2 linked regions of the Astyanax mexicanus genome follow. The protein of the gene in region 1 purifies or fractionates together with the protein of each later gene. This does not show direct contact. Links are inferred from orthologs where the notes say so. Each region holds a gene or a part of one and is shown on either strand. Other genes may lie near its edges. The genes, in order: eif2ak3 and tbl2.

Region 1 (7,118 bases):
AACTTAACAGACTGGTTTATCTCACACATTGATTTTATAAGAAATAGAAATAAGAAAAAAATAATATATAGTGCAAACAATAAGTGCAAACCACAACCAGTCATATTAAGACTATGGTTTGTTTTTTTTTTCTTCTAAATCTCTTGTAATTTAACTATGCATAACCATAACTAGTCATATTAAGACTATGCTTGAAGTGCAAACAGAGACAGAACTTTTTTTTTAAATGCCACGAGATCTCGTCACACCCCTAATTTTCAGTATAATAGAACTCTCTGAAACACTGACCTGTTGGCACCATGCCTAATATCTGGCATGGGCTAGAAGTATATAAAGCCCTCAGCCCTCAGCAGTGAGCTGTGATCTCCCCATCCAGTACTTTGGGATGAGGTGGGGTGGTGATCATACAGCATTCTGACCTCAATAACCCACTTGTTGTGCTGATTACAATCGAATCATCACAGTACAGTGCTCCAAAATATTAGAAAGCCTACCCCAGCAGTGAATAACAGTTCCTCCAGCAAAGAAATGAATGATCAAGTCTTTTTATTACCATTTATTTTAGAATTTTCTTTCCCATTTCCTTTCTCTTCTCTAGGTGTGGTGGAGACAGGGCTGTTTGTGGGGATGGCTGAGCGAGTTTACTTTGGGATGGAAGATGGAAGTGTGAAGATCCGAGATCCTCCTGTTAACTGAAGGGGAACGAGGAGAACGCCTTTTCCCGCCTGCTGCAAAGACAAGACCAGCCTGACACCGCAGTGCCAGTAGAGTACACACACTCGTGCAGCTCATGCGTGCCATCTACTGGAGATAACTACTACTTCTACTGGGAGAGAGACATGCAACCACAACATTTCCTAATATCTGATGAAGGTTTGAGTGTATGAAAAGCAGATGTGTACGCATTCACCATGTCATACACCTCGTCTTTCCTCTCTATTTTGTTTCTCGTAGTGTTGTTAACCACTCTGTTACTGACCCTGTACTTAGGGTAAATCTAAAGCTGCTAAACAGCTTGGCCTTCTGGCAGCCACAAAATTAAGCCTAGTCTAGGACTAAATCATTTAAAAACATTTATTAGTTGAAACTAGACCTTTAAACCTTTAACCTGGTGAAATGGCTGTTACTGTCTGCCTTCTGTTTGTGTGTTTTTTCTTTACTGTCTCAAATTTTTTGATTCTTGTCATTTCTGCATGTCTCTACACACTTTGAATTTGAAGCCATTTCTAGATGTACTTTGATCTCTGTGCCTCATGCATCTTTCACTTTGTTTCGCTTGGTTGTTGCCTTGTATTTCAACACTTTTTGTTATATTGAACCAAAGCATGACAGTGGTGGGAGATTAGCTAAATTTAGCGCACACACTGCAGTTAAACACTTTTACACATTTAAAGGTGCATGGATTTCTTTTTTATTTTTCTCTGCATTCAGACCTCATTAACGGTATGGACCAGTACCTATAATCAGTAGATTTATTTACATTTAAGTGTCCGTCTCTCAAGTGTCAGATTAATACCTCTGTTTACAATTAGGCCACTGTTTTACATTTCTTTCACATTTCAATAATAACATGTTAAGGTTTATATCAAAACAATCAAATGAGCAGATGCAGTTTTGGCTCTTTGGAGCGTTGAATGAATGTAACCACAGTTTATTTCAGATTGATCAGTGTTTTGAGCTCAGATTTCAGGGAAAAAATGAAGAAAAATGTGATCTTGAAAAAACATAGTACTACTAGTAATGCAGTAGTATTGGGTGTGTATTGGGTCTTATGAATATTTGATGTAAAATGAGAGGGTCAGTATTTTGGATGTTACAGCTAGCTTTGATCAGATAGAGCCACAGATTTGTTAAAAATATATACAGTACAGAGCAGCAGCCTTGTCTGCCTATGTATGGACTGTATATGCCAATTGATTCAATTCAATTTGTACAATTCGTATTTTTCTTTGATGTGCCTATCAATCTCAACAAACTGTTGTCAGGAATTTACAGTAGCACAGGTTTCCAGCAACCTGGCTTAACTCAACCCAAGTGATCAGGCCTTACCTCAGGCACCTTCCGCTCCTTTATGTTCTTAAGAGATGTTTGTCTTGTGTGACTTTCTAATGAAGTCACTGTGACCTATGACAACACCAGCTTTATGTTGACAATGTTTCTGTACCAATACTACTGTGACATTACGGTTTGGATTAGCGAATGGCATTCTTTATTGTTTTAAAGACCAATCTTGCATTAAAAGAGGACCAATCAAATAAACAAGACTTGTGGTACTTTTTCATTTTTTGATATTACTTTATTGGTAAACTATGTAGCTGCCCCTGTTGCCACCAGCAAACCCCAAAACTGGCCTACAAAACTAAAAATGGACTTGAAAGGTCAAAACCAGATCCTCTTTGAGCTTTCAGTATGGCTCAGCTTAACCTACTATCTTTTAAAATGCATCCAAGTCATTCTCTGTCCTGGCACTAAGATGGTAGGACAAATGATTTCAGATGTCAAAACTGAACAGCATTCTCCTCCAAAAAGTACTTAAATTGTTTTAAATTATCTTGCACTTATGATATAAAGGCTGTACTCATGATGTTATTTGACTTTTAGTTAAAGTGTAGTATGCAAGTGCCATGAATCTAGGTATCCATACTGATTTTTTTTTTTTTTTAATACAGCTCTGGGAAAGATTGAGACATTTCAGTTTCTCTGATTTTGCTATTATATATATATAGGTGTATGTTTGAGTAAAATTAACATTATTGTTTTATTCTATAAACTACGGACAAATTCCAAATATTGTCATTTAGAGCATTTATTTGAGTAAGCGTCAGACTGAGCACTTTCTCCATGTTAAGATGTTCCTAACCCTCTATGGCTTAAATTTTATGTTTGTAGGTAAATAACAAATACCACTGCTTTATTAGCATTATTCCTTTAACAAATGTGCTCTAACTGTATATTGCTGCTCTGATGCAACTAATAAATAAACACTTTAATAAGTAAAAAAAAAAAAACATTGATTAGCAATATATGCGTTTCCTCCTCTTTATTTATGCACAATATATAATATTTAAAGAAAATTTAAAAATAAACTATTTACCACTATTCAACAATTCACCAATTGGTGATATTGAAATCCATGTGGCTTTGACTTTTAAAATGAATTAAACTTTTCCCCCTAATTTTATTGAATGGAGACATGTCTTGTAACATTATATAATATATAATTCAGCATCTGCTAAATGCCTTAAATGCAAACAAAATATGATATGAGTATTATATGTATAATATATGTATTATAGTTTCTGTTCATATTATCGTAAATGTGTCATTTTCTTAAAAGGCCGCAAGATGGCAGCAGAAAACGCTGCCCTTAACTTATAATCATGCCCAGACATGCCCAGGACGGTCCTAGCGAATTAAACGTTTTACACTTTGGATTTACTGTATATCTGATATTCATTATACATTTAATTTTGTGTTAAATAAATGCCTCTCTTTTTTAATGACCACATGTGACATATAATGGATAAAAGTGAAAAGTAAAAATGTGAAAAAGTTATGTTTAGTGATTATGATTAGTACTGTTTTAAATCACTATTTGCTGCTTCACGCACTATTTTACGATTTTATTATATTTTTTATATTGTATTTATGTATGTTATGAATGGAAGGAACTATATTTATAACTGTTTTTATCGCATCGTGCGAGTTAAACAGGCTCTTTAATGTAATCCAACCACATTTACAGACCCGTTTCCGTGATTTAAAAGTTCAGAACTCTTCAGGTGTGTGTGAGTGCGCTTTAAACAGTGGCGCTTGTTTTCTACGCACAGTGCTGCTGAACTTTCTCCGGAAAAGGAAGCGTGAAGCTGCTTTTGCCCGCGATTAAGCGGCCACGTCGCGCTTTCCATCTCGCTGTTGTTCAGAGACTCACGAGATCCTCCCGCTGATCAGCTCGTCAGCGGCGGATCCGCCCATTTAAAAAGCTGGGGAACTATTTTGACAGACGGGCTCGTGGAGCAGCGGACCAATCAGGGCGCGCGCTGTGAGGCCGGGGTGTCGTTTCGTTGGTCGTGTCGTTGGTCCTCTCTCTGCTGTAATGTGTTTGGAGGGTTCGGACACGCCACGCTCCTCTACTTGCTCTGATTCTCCCCTCTTTCTGCTTAAACCCCGCCTTTTGGGGTGTGACTGACGGGCCAGCAGCCAATAGCGCTCTCTGTTTGGGGGGCGGAGCTCCGCATCTGACTGACAGTTCCCCCGCCCAATCCCCTTCTGCTTAGTAGACGAGCTGCGCGGAGTGATGTGCGAGCGCTGCTATCAGAGCGCTGTGGACAGGACGCGCTGGACTCGTGTGTTCCTCCGCGGCCAATGCGTGTTTGGATACGGGGCGGGCTGAACGTTACCACGGCAAGACTGAGGGCGCTATAAAGCCAATAACATGGTGCTACAGAGACTCGTGTTTACGCTAAGAAAAGAGATCTGAAAGTCGCAGGGAAGCTTGTTAATTGCGTCCTTTATTAGTATAAATCGTTTCAGAGCTTTTTTTTTTCAGGGAAGCTGTTTTAAAAAACTAGCTTTGCATTTTGTTTTTCGTATGGATGGGATTGCCTATCTAACATACTAGCTAATGTGCCACTTGTCCCAATGGAAAGGGGGCTTCGGTTTGGAATCGCGGGCATATCCCTTGTGCTGTTGTTGATCTTGAGAGGGGTAACCGGGACTTTACAAACCAACTCCCTCTCCGGGAGAAAGCTGGAGGCCCCGGCAGCAGGAGATGGAGCCGTTATGGAGCGGCTGGAGAGCTCAGGGGCTCCGGGAGGAACGGGGGACGTGACAGTGGAGGACGAGAACGGGGCGACTGGAGGAGAGGGAGAGGAAACGTCTGGAGAGAGCGACTCAAACTTCCCTCACAACAGAAGGTAGACAGCGCTGAATTACCTTGTTTCTCCCTGTGAAGTAGAGTTAATTAACAGACCCTGGGGTTTTTGTTTGAAGGTAGTTGACACTGTCAGTCAGTGTGGTTAACACCTAGCGAAACTTCCTGAAGTTAGTTAGGTTAGCGTTAGCTCACCTAGGATAACCAACCGAGCGAGCTGACCTAACGTACAGTTTCTTATTCCATTGGCAGATATTTTTGTTGCTCGTTTTAAGCATTATTTCTTGACACAAACTAGCTAAAATTGTCCTGAATTTGCTTAGCAATTAGCTATGGCGCTTTTGGTAGTTTTAAATAATCTATAACAAGTAAAAGTTACAAGGACGTTCGAAATAAGTTAGTAATTCCTGTAATGTTACTTTAAATGAGGAATAATTAACGTTAATATTTACACTACATTTAAGAGGATTTTACTTGTTAAGCTAGCGTTAGCTATGCTGTCTTGCTAAACCAGCCAGATAATGTAGCATATCCAAGGCAAAAGCTAGCTAGGTCAATTAGTTTACTTAGCTAGCTAACTGTAGCTAACTAACCAGTTACTGGCCAAATTCAGAGTATAGGTTGGCTAAGTAATAGTTATTTAGATTAAAATGATGAAGGTGCTAAGCTAAGTAGTTAGCTAATGTTAACAGACTCGTTTTAGCAGCTTGTTTCATTTCGTCTGTGGTGTTGTTGTTGTCCACAGTGACAGTTAGTTAGCTAGGTTAACTAGCTAACCTTACCAGATTGCCCCTTTCAAAAACCTCAGCTAGGTTAGTTAACAAGCCACTGGTCTAAATCTGTCCAGTATTGAGATACCATGCTGTTGCTCCCGTTAAGTTTAATTAACCTAACATGGGCTAGTTCAGCTAACTAGTTTGCTAAAGAGTTAGGCAATCATTTAGTTATGAGCTGTAGCCAGCTAGTTAAGTTAACTTAGCTAGATTAACTGTAAACATTGAAGAGGCTGGCTGTGAACGCCCCGCATATCCCTTATCTATGGTCAAGTTTTCCAACACCCTCAATGTCATTCGTGTATTAGTCAATGCTGAACAATTTCCCCCTCTTCTTTAATATGAGAGGTTTAAAATCTGTAGATAACTAGTTAGCTACAATGACTCGCTTTACATTTTGTAATACAAATAGCTTTTCCAGTCTAACACAGCGTCACACTTTATATGAAGAGATATTTTTGTATATTTTGTAAACACACGCCAAACCATGTGGAAACACAAACGCCGCAAACGCATGTGAAATACAGGAAATGAATGAATGAAAGAATATGTAAAAAAAGATGCATTTTCAAATACATGGGTTAAAATAAAACAAGTATAGAATAAAGGACGTTCATTCAAAAGTGCGTTTGTTTTCTTGTTTGCTATAGAGAGCATTTACTTTTCCATGTATTTCTTCATAAGGAGGGGAACGTTAGATTGATATGTTATGCAGCCCATAGTGAGGCTAATTTGGCAAATCTGAATAGTTAGTATTTTGTTAGAGTTAGAGCTGGTTTTTTTATGACCGATCTTCACAGGTTGACACGGACAGAGAGAGGCAGTATGGAGGTTTTAACGGAGGGGAGGAAACGCCCCCCCAAGTCAAACTGGCAGAAATGTTTTGGAAGATATCATTTAATATAAAGTAATTGCTGTATTGTAAATTGTATTTGAGCTATAATGCTCTGTTCATGTCAGTTAGGTGTTGTTAGTAGTTAGTAACTTTGTTAGGCAGCTTTAGAGAAAACAGTTTTTCAGTGTTTGTTCACCTGTAGTCAGTCGGCTCTTGACTGAAGCAGCGCGCTGGAGCTGCTGAAACCTCTCCCTATAACTAAAAAACCCAGTCGAGCAACAGTTTGAGTTTGAGCTCCGTGCCCTCAGCGAGCTTCAGCTCTGTGTCTACGTCAAATTAATGATTATTATTTCGTTTATTAACTTACCTAGATAATTGTGTATATTATCTATATATTAGGTAAGTTGTAAGGCATAATTCAGCCTCTTCAGCGTTCAGTCAGATAAAGAGCTGTTAGAAGTGCTGCTTTTTCACCTGGTTTAGAATGGGAACTTTTTTTCCCGTGTTTAATGCTGTGTGATTAAAGCCACATCTGAGGCAAATGTGCAGAGACCCCACCCCAAATCTGAATCCAAAAAAACAGAGGATGGGTACGCATACAGTCCTGTTATTGCAGCAGTGGACTCTCTCTCTCTCT
Region 2 (8,171 bases), on another chromosome or scaffold:
CGGTATTTAGATTTGTCTGTTTCCCTTTCGTTTTTTTCTGAAATAAAAGCGTGTCCTGTGACTTTTGACTCAACCTGTATAAACCAATTAATTTTAAGTCTCTGAAGATGCAGCCCATCTGCGTGATGACCTGATCAAAAGTACACAGTATTACAAACACAGGAACCTTGGTTTCGGACCTAAATGTTTGAAAACACCCCTAAACTGCTGCTATATTAAATGTGGCAAAAAAATGAAACCCTTTTGTATAGTAAATTAGAGGATCATGATTATATTTTTTGCTGTATGTGTGTGTTTCCGTCCACAGTGGGAAAGACATGGTCATGCACAGTGTGTGATAAGAAGTATGTGACAGAGTACATGTTGCAGAAACACGTTCAGCTCACACATGACAAGGTGGAGGCACAGGACTGCCATCTGTGTGGAACTAAAGTCTCCACACGTGCATCGATGAATCGTCACCTTCGCAGGAAACACCCTGAGGTACACACTCACAGACATGCACACACACACACACACACACACAGTTTCACTCTTTGCACATTACAACAATTGTTTTGGTACAGAGGACACTCTGGGGCAGCCATGAGCCCCAATGAGCACCCAATGCCAATCATGATGTAGGATGGTGTCTTTCTCTGGGGATAGTTCAAGCTTTTACTTTGGTAATGGGGATCTGCATCTAGTTAATAACAGCTGTCCACATACTGTTCAAATAGTGTAAATATATGCAGTCATGACTGAACTACTGCAGTGCGTTTTGTAGTAGTTTTTGCGTGTGAAGTGAGTCTACATATCTGCTGTGTGTTCTTTCTGAGAGCAGGTGGTGCAAGTGAGAGTGGAGGGCTTTGAAGATCTTCAGGATTCTGCAACTATTGGTGCCTCCTCCATCAGCATAGTACAGGTGTCTTTTATGAAACTGTCTTTAAAGTAATAATTCAGCTGAAACCTCTTTTATGTCTAAACTGTTTCTTTTACATTGAAGCTACAGTAGCAGTAATGTAACTAGCCACTGCATTCCTAAATCATATGGAAGTGTTCAGTAATTCCTAATATACTTGCTTATGTGGTTTCTCTCTCTCTTTCCCTCTGTCTGTGTGTATGTTTCAGCCATCTGTGCCACTGGAGAAAACCCCCCTCTCTACAGAGAATTCTCTCCAGAGCTCCAGTCCCGATAAGAAACAGCAGAAGCATCAGCTGGAGGAGCCGGAGCTGTCAGACTCAGATGAGTATGCAGAATTCACCAACAAAACCACCTTCACAAGCGCTGTGGGAGACGAGACTAACTCTGCTGTACAGAGCATTCAGCAGGTTCGGATTATTAAAATACCTACCTTATGCTTCCACTCTCTGGTCACCTTATTACAACCTGTGTTTTGAACAAATAAGACACACTGGAAGACACTCCCATCATGTGCTTCCACTCACTGGCCACTTCATAAGAAACACTTCCTTTTGTACTTCCACTCTCTGGCCATGCCTACTATGTTCATCCACTATCTGGCCACTATCTCATAAGCACCCACCTTATGTTTCTAATCACTGGCCAATTTATAATAAACACCTACCTAGTGGTACCACCTTTTGGTTCTATTCCGTCAACTTTTTTAGAAACTCTTACAACCTGAGTGTACAGTCTCTATTTGAGCACCAGCAAGTTACAAGGGAGTGGGTTCTGATAAAGTGGCAGGGATGTGTGTATAAAAAATTATGACTGACATGTGTTTAATCATTCTCTCCACCCTCTCACCATACCCAGGTGGTTGTATTGGCGGACCCCAACACCACTGCTGCAGAATCTCCCTCTAGTTCTGTGAGTCTGACCAACATCACGGTGACTCCAATAAACACGCCCGCCCCGACACAGTTCACCAACCTGCAGCCTGTTGCCATGGGACACCTGACGCCTAACGACCGGCCTTTGAGTCTGGACAACTCCATCCTGACTGTGACTTTTGATACAGTGAGTGGTTCCACCATGCTACACAACCGTCCGGAAGAGCTGCAGAGCGAGGGAGGGGCGGGGCCTGCTGCTCCTCAATCTGTCGCTCACTTTATCAACCTCACCACCTTTGTCAACCCCATAACCCACCCCATGGAGCAGACGGCATTAGCCTGGAGGCCTGTTACTCCTGCTGATGGGACCCACGTCACAGCAGCAATAGATGGATCCCAACCGGACCCTCAGGACCCCCAGGACCCCCAACTTCAGGGGGCCACTTCGCAGCAGCTGCCCCAGCAAGCACATCCCCCAATGGAGCAAAGTCATCAGATCCAGCCTGAGACTTCAGAACCTACGCAGGATTCCTCTACAGCGCCACAGATGTTTAGCTACTGAAAGTTAAAAGTAAACAATTAAAGGGGAACTCCACACAGTTTTCCTAATTCCTGTGTAAATTTGTGTGTAAACTGAAGACATTCAAAGTGAGTGGGGACAGTCAGAGAGTGGGGTGCGGTGTAAAATTGTGGTTCATTTTAGAGAAAATTTTCAACAGTGTTAGTGAATCAAATCAAATGACTAAAACACAAATAGTCCCATTTCATTTACTTTCCAAACCCACTAGTAAACCTACATAAGTCTTTTCAGTTTTATAGGGGATGGCGATAAATAGTTGAAAATTTGATGCATACACAATTTCCTTGTGGACTACTTTTTGCTGAACAGCTAAATGTATCCCTCCACATTTTAATGATATGTGATTTTTAAAATAACCTTCTGAGGCTTCAGGCAGCATGTTCATAATTCTTACTGTGAATTGAGTGTTTCAAACCAAACCCGCTCTGAATTTTTACACCCGGGAGCTTTGACAAATTGGTGGAGCTCCCCTTTTGCACTTGGCAGTTTAAAGCAATCCTGGTCTATCTCTACTCTGCATTAGCTAAGATTTTTTTCTGCTCTAACACACTTAACCATTCCCCTCTTCAGGTTTTTCTATACTGCCTGGGGAGGGCCTGGAAAGGAAGGGCTTAAAAAAGAGCAGGTAAATGCTGATTGCAGAAGCAGAGTTTGGAAACCACATACAGATGTGTGCTTTTTACAGTGCATTTTAAGTTGTTTAAAAAGAATAATGCCACCAGTCACATTTATTAGTTTAATATGAACGCAAACCAAAGCTGTATGTATATTATTTTGAATGGCTTGTTGCGTTTGTATTGCAGTCTTTTGCAAGAGACCGTTCTAAACTGGAAACATAAGTTCTTCCTCAAGTTCAGAGAAGCTGTTTGTAAGAAACAAGTATATTAAGATAAGAAACAAAGAAAGAAAGATAAATGTGAAGCTGTCTTACCTGCTCACCTGACTATGGATCTTTTTTAATGAACTTTTTGTTATTTTCACACCAGGTAGCTTTAAATAAACTAAATCTATAATCACTGTTGTAGTGGATTTAATCTATTCCAGTATTCATCAGTAAGACTTTGTTTTCATCTGTGGCTGATCAGTAAAATGGACTTTTGGCGTAGTAAAACATAATAAAAAGTACATACCTTTGGTAAATAGCACACCTCTTTTCTCCCACAGCGTACCAAGATTCAGAAATTTTAACAGTTTGTCCAAACACCCTTCAGACTGGGTGACATGGGGCATAATTTGCCCTGATAAATCGCTTTTTTATTATTCTTCTTTATTACGCTTTTTTTTGGTATTCAGGCTCAAAGTAGCTCCACACCTCTTTGCTAGAATCTGGATAGCCCTGACAGTTAAAACAAGGCATTAATAACTTTAAAAAATTGCACAAAAAAACTGTTTACATCCCATAAAACTAGCTTTACCTCTGTGCGCTGCCATTACTGTACTGATAATCACACACACACATATATATATACATATACAAATTATGCCCCGTGTCACCCAGTCTAAAGGATGTTTGGACAAACTACTATTTAATATTCCTGGATCTGGTGCTTTTCATCAAAGGTAAGTACTTTTATCATGTTTTACTACACCAAAAGTCCATTTTACTCAGGAGTTCTCCTTTAAGCATCCTAATTGACACCAATACAGCCATAGCATTTTACACATCTACCCAATATTATTATATATTTTTTTCTGTCTCTGAAAACTAATTCTTAAGCAGATACATTGTTTTATTTTTATTGTTTTTGTATTTTATTACACCTGTAGCTTATCACAGTTTAAAAAGAAAATATACTTTATTTTTGCCTGAGTGAATAACTAAATTGAAAAATAATCTCCCATACCCCAGTGTACAGTAGCGATGTACAGTAATTTACTGATAGAATGGCAGAGATTGTTTGTAGAGTTTGTAGGCTCTCATTTGGGAAACAGTGAAAGATTGTTTTTAAACTGGGCTGGAGTGAACAGTCCAGTATGGAAGCCCATTTCCGCCACCTGAAGAAAAAAAAACTTCCTAAACTAAGTCATAATTATGAGATAGAAAAGTCATAATTATGGGATAGTAAGTCATAATTTTGAGATAGTAAGTCATAATTATGAGATAAAAAAGTCATAATTATGAGATAGTAAGTCATATTTATGAGATAAAAAGTCATCTCATAATTATGACTTCGTATCTCATAATTATGACTTACTATCCCATAATTATGACTTTTCTATCTCATAATTATGACTTAGTTTAGGAAGTTTTTTTTTCTTCAGGTGGCGGAAATGGGCTTCCAGAGTCGTCCTTTGCTTCCCGTATTGAAACCCCTCCTCTCTCCGCTCCACGGACACATTCAGACTCCATAAGCGTCCCTTATTTTTAATTCTGAAAGTTGTCAACCCTAGTGGCGAATAAAAAGAACTTAAGCTTCGTTAGATATTGTGTGTAAAAGGTACATTACAGAATCAAAAATGTGGAAGGCTGACTTTTGAAACAGATTGAATGAATAAATTAATGAATGAACAGGGCGAGCACAGCTCACCTCCTCCAGGCCGCCAGAGGGCGGGAGGGATCAGTATTTTCCTGAAAGCTGAGGAAACCCCTGAAGAAAACTCTGACAAGTCAGCACGGTCCACGACTGCAGCGCGAATAGTTATTAATACAGATAAATATAGATCAATTTCTTTATACACGCGCCCGATATTAATACGCTTAGTCAGCACGCGCACAGAGGCGGAGAGAGAGAGGGAGAGAGAGATACAGTAGTTTGTGTATGTACATATGCATGTGTTTTGTGTGAGTGTGTGTATGTCTGTGAGATTGTATTTGTGTGTATGTGATGGAGTTCTCAGCTGTGCTCGTGCTCTCCCTGTTTCTCGGGGCTCTTCTCGTGCTGATCTTTGCTGCAGTTGCGAAGAGAAACGGAACACCTGAGCAACCTGAGCCAGAGCAGGTAAAACCCACAGGTGAGTTTCCTTATATTACAGATAACTCTGATCACCTTTTAAATGAAAACATTTAGCTACTTTAAGATGCACCCATTGCTGCTAAACTGCATGTGTGTAAAAGCAGACACAGGCTGTGTAGTCATGGCTAAATGAGAGGTGCTGCTAATAGAACAGTAGAAAAGGACTCGGTCATGGACTGGATGCACTGAGCTGTAAAATGACTGTGCTCAGTTCAGGACTTTTAGGATGAGGTGGGGAGATTCATCATTTAATATCCTGCCCTCACAAATGCCTTTGCTGTTCAGTGCAGTCAGATCCTCACAGCAATGCTCTATAATCGTTTAGAAAGCATTTTCTGGACAGGAAAGACAATTACTCCAACAATAGCAGGTTAAACTCTCTACTAAAATAGATTTCAGATTAAGCCATTAATGAAGAGGTGTCCCAATACTTTTGTTCACATCATGTACATTATACGTGTGATTTAGTGTTGGGGTGCTGAAGGTGGTCTTCACCAACTTCTCAAAGTTTTTGGTGTTTTAGATGAACACATTCAGAGTGGGGTTTGGTGTGAATTAAAGGTTCAGATGTCTAATACCGTTTATTACTAGTGTTAACAGTTGTGTGACTGGGTGTGTTTCACTCTAAACCTACTCTAAAAAGACATTTTTTCATATACACCTGATGTTTGGGTGATGTGTGTACAAAGTTTATAATAATTTGTTTGTGAAGTAAATGTTAGGTCAAAAAATAGTACTTAAGTTAAGGTACAAAACTATTTGGGAATTTGTGTTTCAATGAATAAAGATCCTATTTGTGCACTTTTACTGGAGTAGAAATTGTAGACAGAATATAACTTGAGTAAAAGTACTATAGAAATTATGATTGTTTTTTATTAAAGGGATTTGTGTGAATGCAAACAAAGTTTAATTGAGTTTGTTTATCAGAATAATATGAAAATAAAATGATGATTAATTATGATCTGTTTTTGATACTCAAGTGCATTATTAGTGTAATCAAATATTCATCTCACTCTGCTGCTTGCTGATATGGCACAAACACAAACAAACAGACACTCTGCTGCTATTTAATGTTACAGCTGAAGAGAGTTCAGCGAAAGCCTCTTCTAAGAAGCAGAAACAGCAGCAGCGACCACGGAAAGAAAAACCCCAGCAGCACATTTTCACCCACACTCTTCTGGCATCTTCTCTAAAGGTATGCCTCCTTTTCTGGCCGCCAGACCTACAGTCTCACCTGTCAGGCCAGTGCCTGTAATGCTACTGACTCTGTTAAATACTTTTTAAAGCACAAGCTATTCTAGGCTGCAGCCTTGGGGCCTATTCAATGATTAGGGCCCACTGATTGGCCACATTTTATTTTATTTTATTTGTTTATTTTTCATGACATTTGAACCCCCTTTGGTCCATTTTAATGATAAACACTTGACACGACACGGGAGTTCAGAATTGTTTGATTTGTGATTGTTCCTAAAAGGAATACTTTTAGGCAAACAATGTTGCACCTGTAATTTACTTAAAAAGTGTGGGAAAAAGTGCATTATTGGCACTCAAAAAACAAAAGCAAGTCAGCTAAGGCAGACCTGCCAAAATGTGCGCATTTTGTGTAACGGCCATGTATTTTGACCTCCTAATCTGCTTGTACGGTCCCATGTTCTAAACTACACATCATTTCATCTCACATTTTGCCACTTTCAGTCAAGTCAACTTGATTCCGCCACTGCTTCGTAAGCAAAGTGCTTTTGGCTGGTCAGGGTGCTTAATTTTCACCCAACCATTTTCAGGTTGTTGAAGGTAGAATATGGAGCTACATTAGCATTTACTTTTAACTCAGTTTAACTCAGTATCTCAGCACATTAAAATATTTTAATTTAAAAAAATCATCAAAACTACCCTGAGATTTTATAGTACAGTAAAAAAGGATCTGCCTAAAAATAAATCATGATTTAATTATGATTAATCACAGAATGTTGTTGTGATTTAATATAATTACAGCAATAATATTAATATGATTAATTTTGTAAGTGTGTATAGAAATGTTTAGGATGGAATGCCCATTTAAAGTGCAGCCTAGGGGCCAACATGTCGTGTTAATGTGTTAATCATGACTATAGTCAAACAGTTTAAACAATTTAAAAAAGTAAAAAATTACAACATTGTTTTTAGAAACACATACTTTCATTAACGCGCCACTTTTATAAGTGCCTGCCCTGTATTTTTTTCTCTTTCAAAAATTATTTTTTTCTTCTCATCTCCTTATCTCAGAACCACAGTGGGAATATAACATGCCTAGATTTCAGCAGCAATGGTAAATATCTGGCCTCCTGCTCAGACGACCGTAGCATCCGGATCTGGAGCACCAAGGACTTCCTGGACCGTGACCATAAATGTCTGCGAGCGAATGTAGAGTTTGACCATGCTACACTCGTCCGCTTCAGCCCAGATTCCCGGTAAGTGCTGACCTCAGAGTTGAAGGTGTTGAACTCACTTTCAGCCTAGCAGTAACACTGGTGTGTGTACCACTGAACATTTATAGTAGGTGTTTCTAATAAAATGGCCAGCAAGTATAAATAATAATCAGGCAGCTCTGTGATACTGCACTGGGTTTTTTAGAGCTTTCATCACATGGCTGGCCAACGCAGAGACCATTCGGATCTTCAAGATGACTAAGAAGGAGGACGGCACGTTCAGTTTTAAAGCTGCTCCAGAGGACTTTCCCCAGAGGCACAAAGGAGTGATCATCAACATCGGCATAGCAGCAACAGGTTAGATCTGCACTGTGATTTAGTTACAGTTTTTATTGGTTGTTTTGACGCTGCCGTCGACTCAAATTCACATTTTTCGAAACAGTTAACACTGAGACC

The links.
Region 2: the proteins of eif2ak3 (region 1) and tbl2 purify together in Homo sapiens (affinity purification with western blotting; 3 studies listed by BioGRID). This does not show direct contact. The link is inferred for Astyanax mexicanus from reciprocal best matches to the Homo sapiens genes EIF2AK3 and TBL2.

The regions. Positions count from the first base shown.
Region 1 is NC_064414.1:26,634,826-26,641,943, forward strand, and holds the start of eif2ak3 (eukaryotic translation initiation factor 2-alpha kinase 3), read left to right. Parts: upstream 1-3,952; 5' UTR 3,953-4,641; coding exon 4,642-4,916; intron 4,917-7,118. Other genes in the region: rpia (ribose-5-phosphate isomerase), read left to right, coding at 599-696. UniProt on the Homo sapiens protein: Metabolic-stress sensing protein kinase that phosphorylates the alpha subunit of eukaryotic translation initiation factor 2 (EIF2S1/eIF-2-alpha) in response to various stress, such as unfolded protein response (UPR).
Region 2 is NC_064427.1:11,953,176-11,961,346, reverse strand, and holds the start of tbl2 (transducin beta-like protein 2), read left to right. Parts: upstream 1-4,920; 5' UTR 4,921-5,181; coding exon 5,182-5,308; intron 5,309-6,389; coding exon 6,390-6,505; intron 6,506-7,572; coding exon 7,573-7,757; intron 7,758-7,920; coding exon 7,921-8,072; intron 8,073-8,081; exon of another isoform or gene 8,082-8,171. Other genes in the region: prdm15 (PR domain zinc finger protein 15), read left to right, coding at 308-483, 824-904, 1,111-1,311, 1,760-2,338.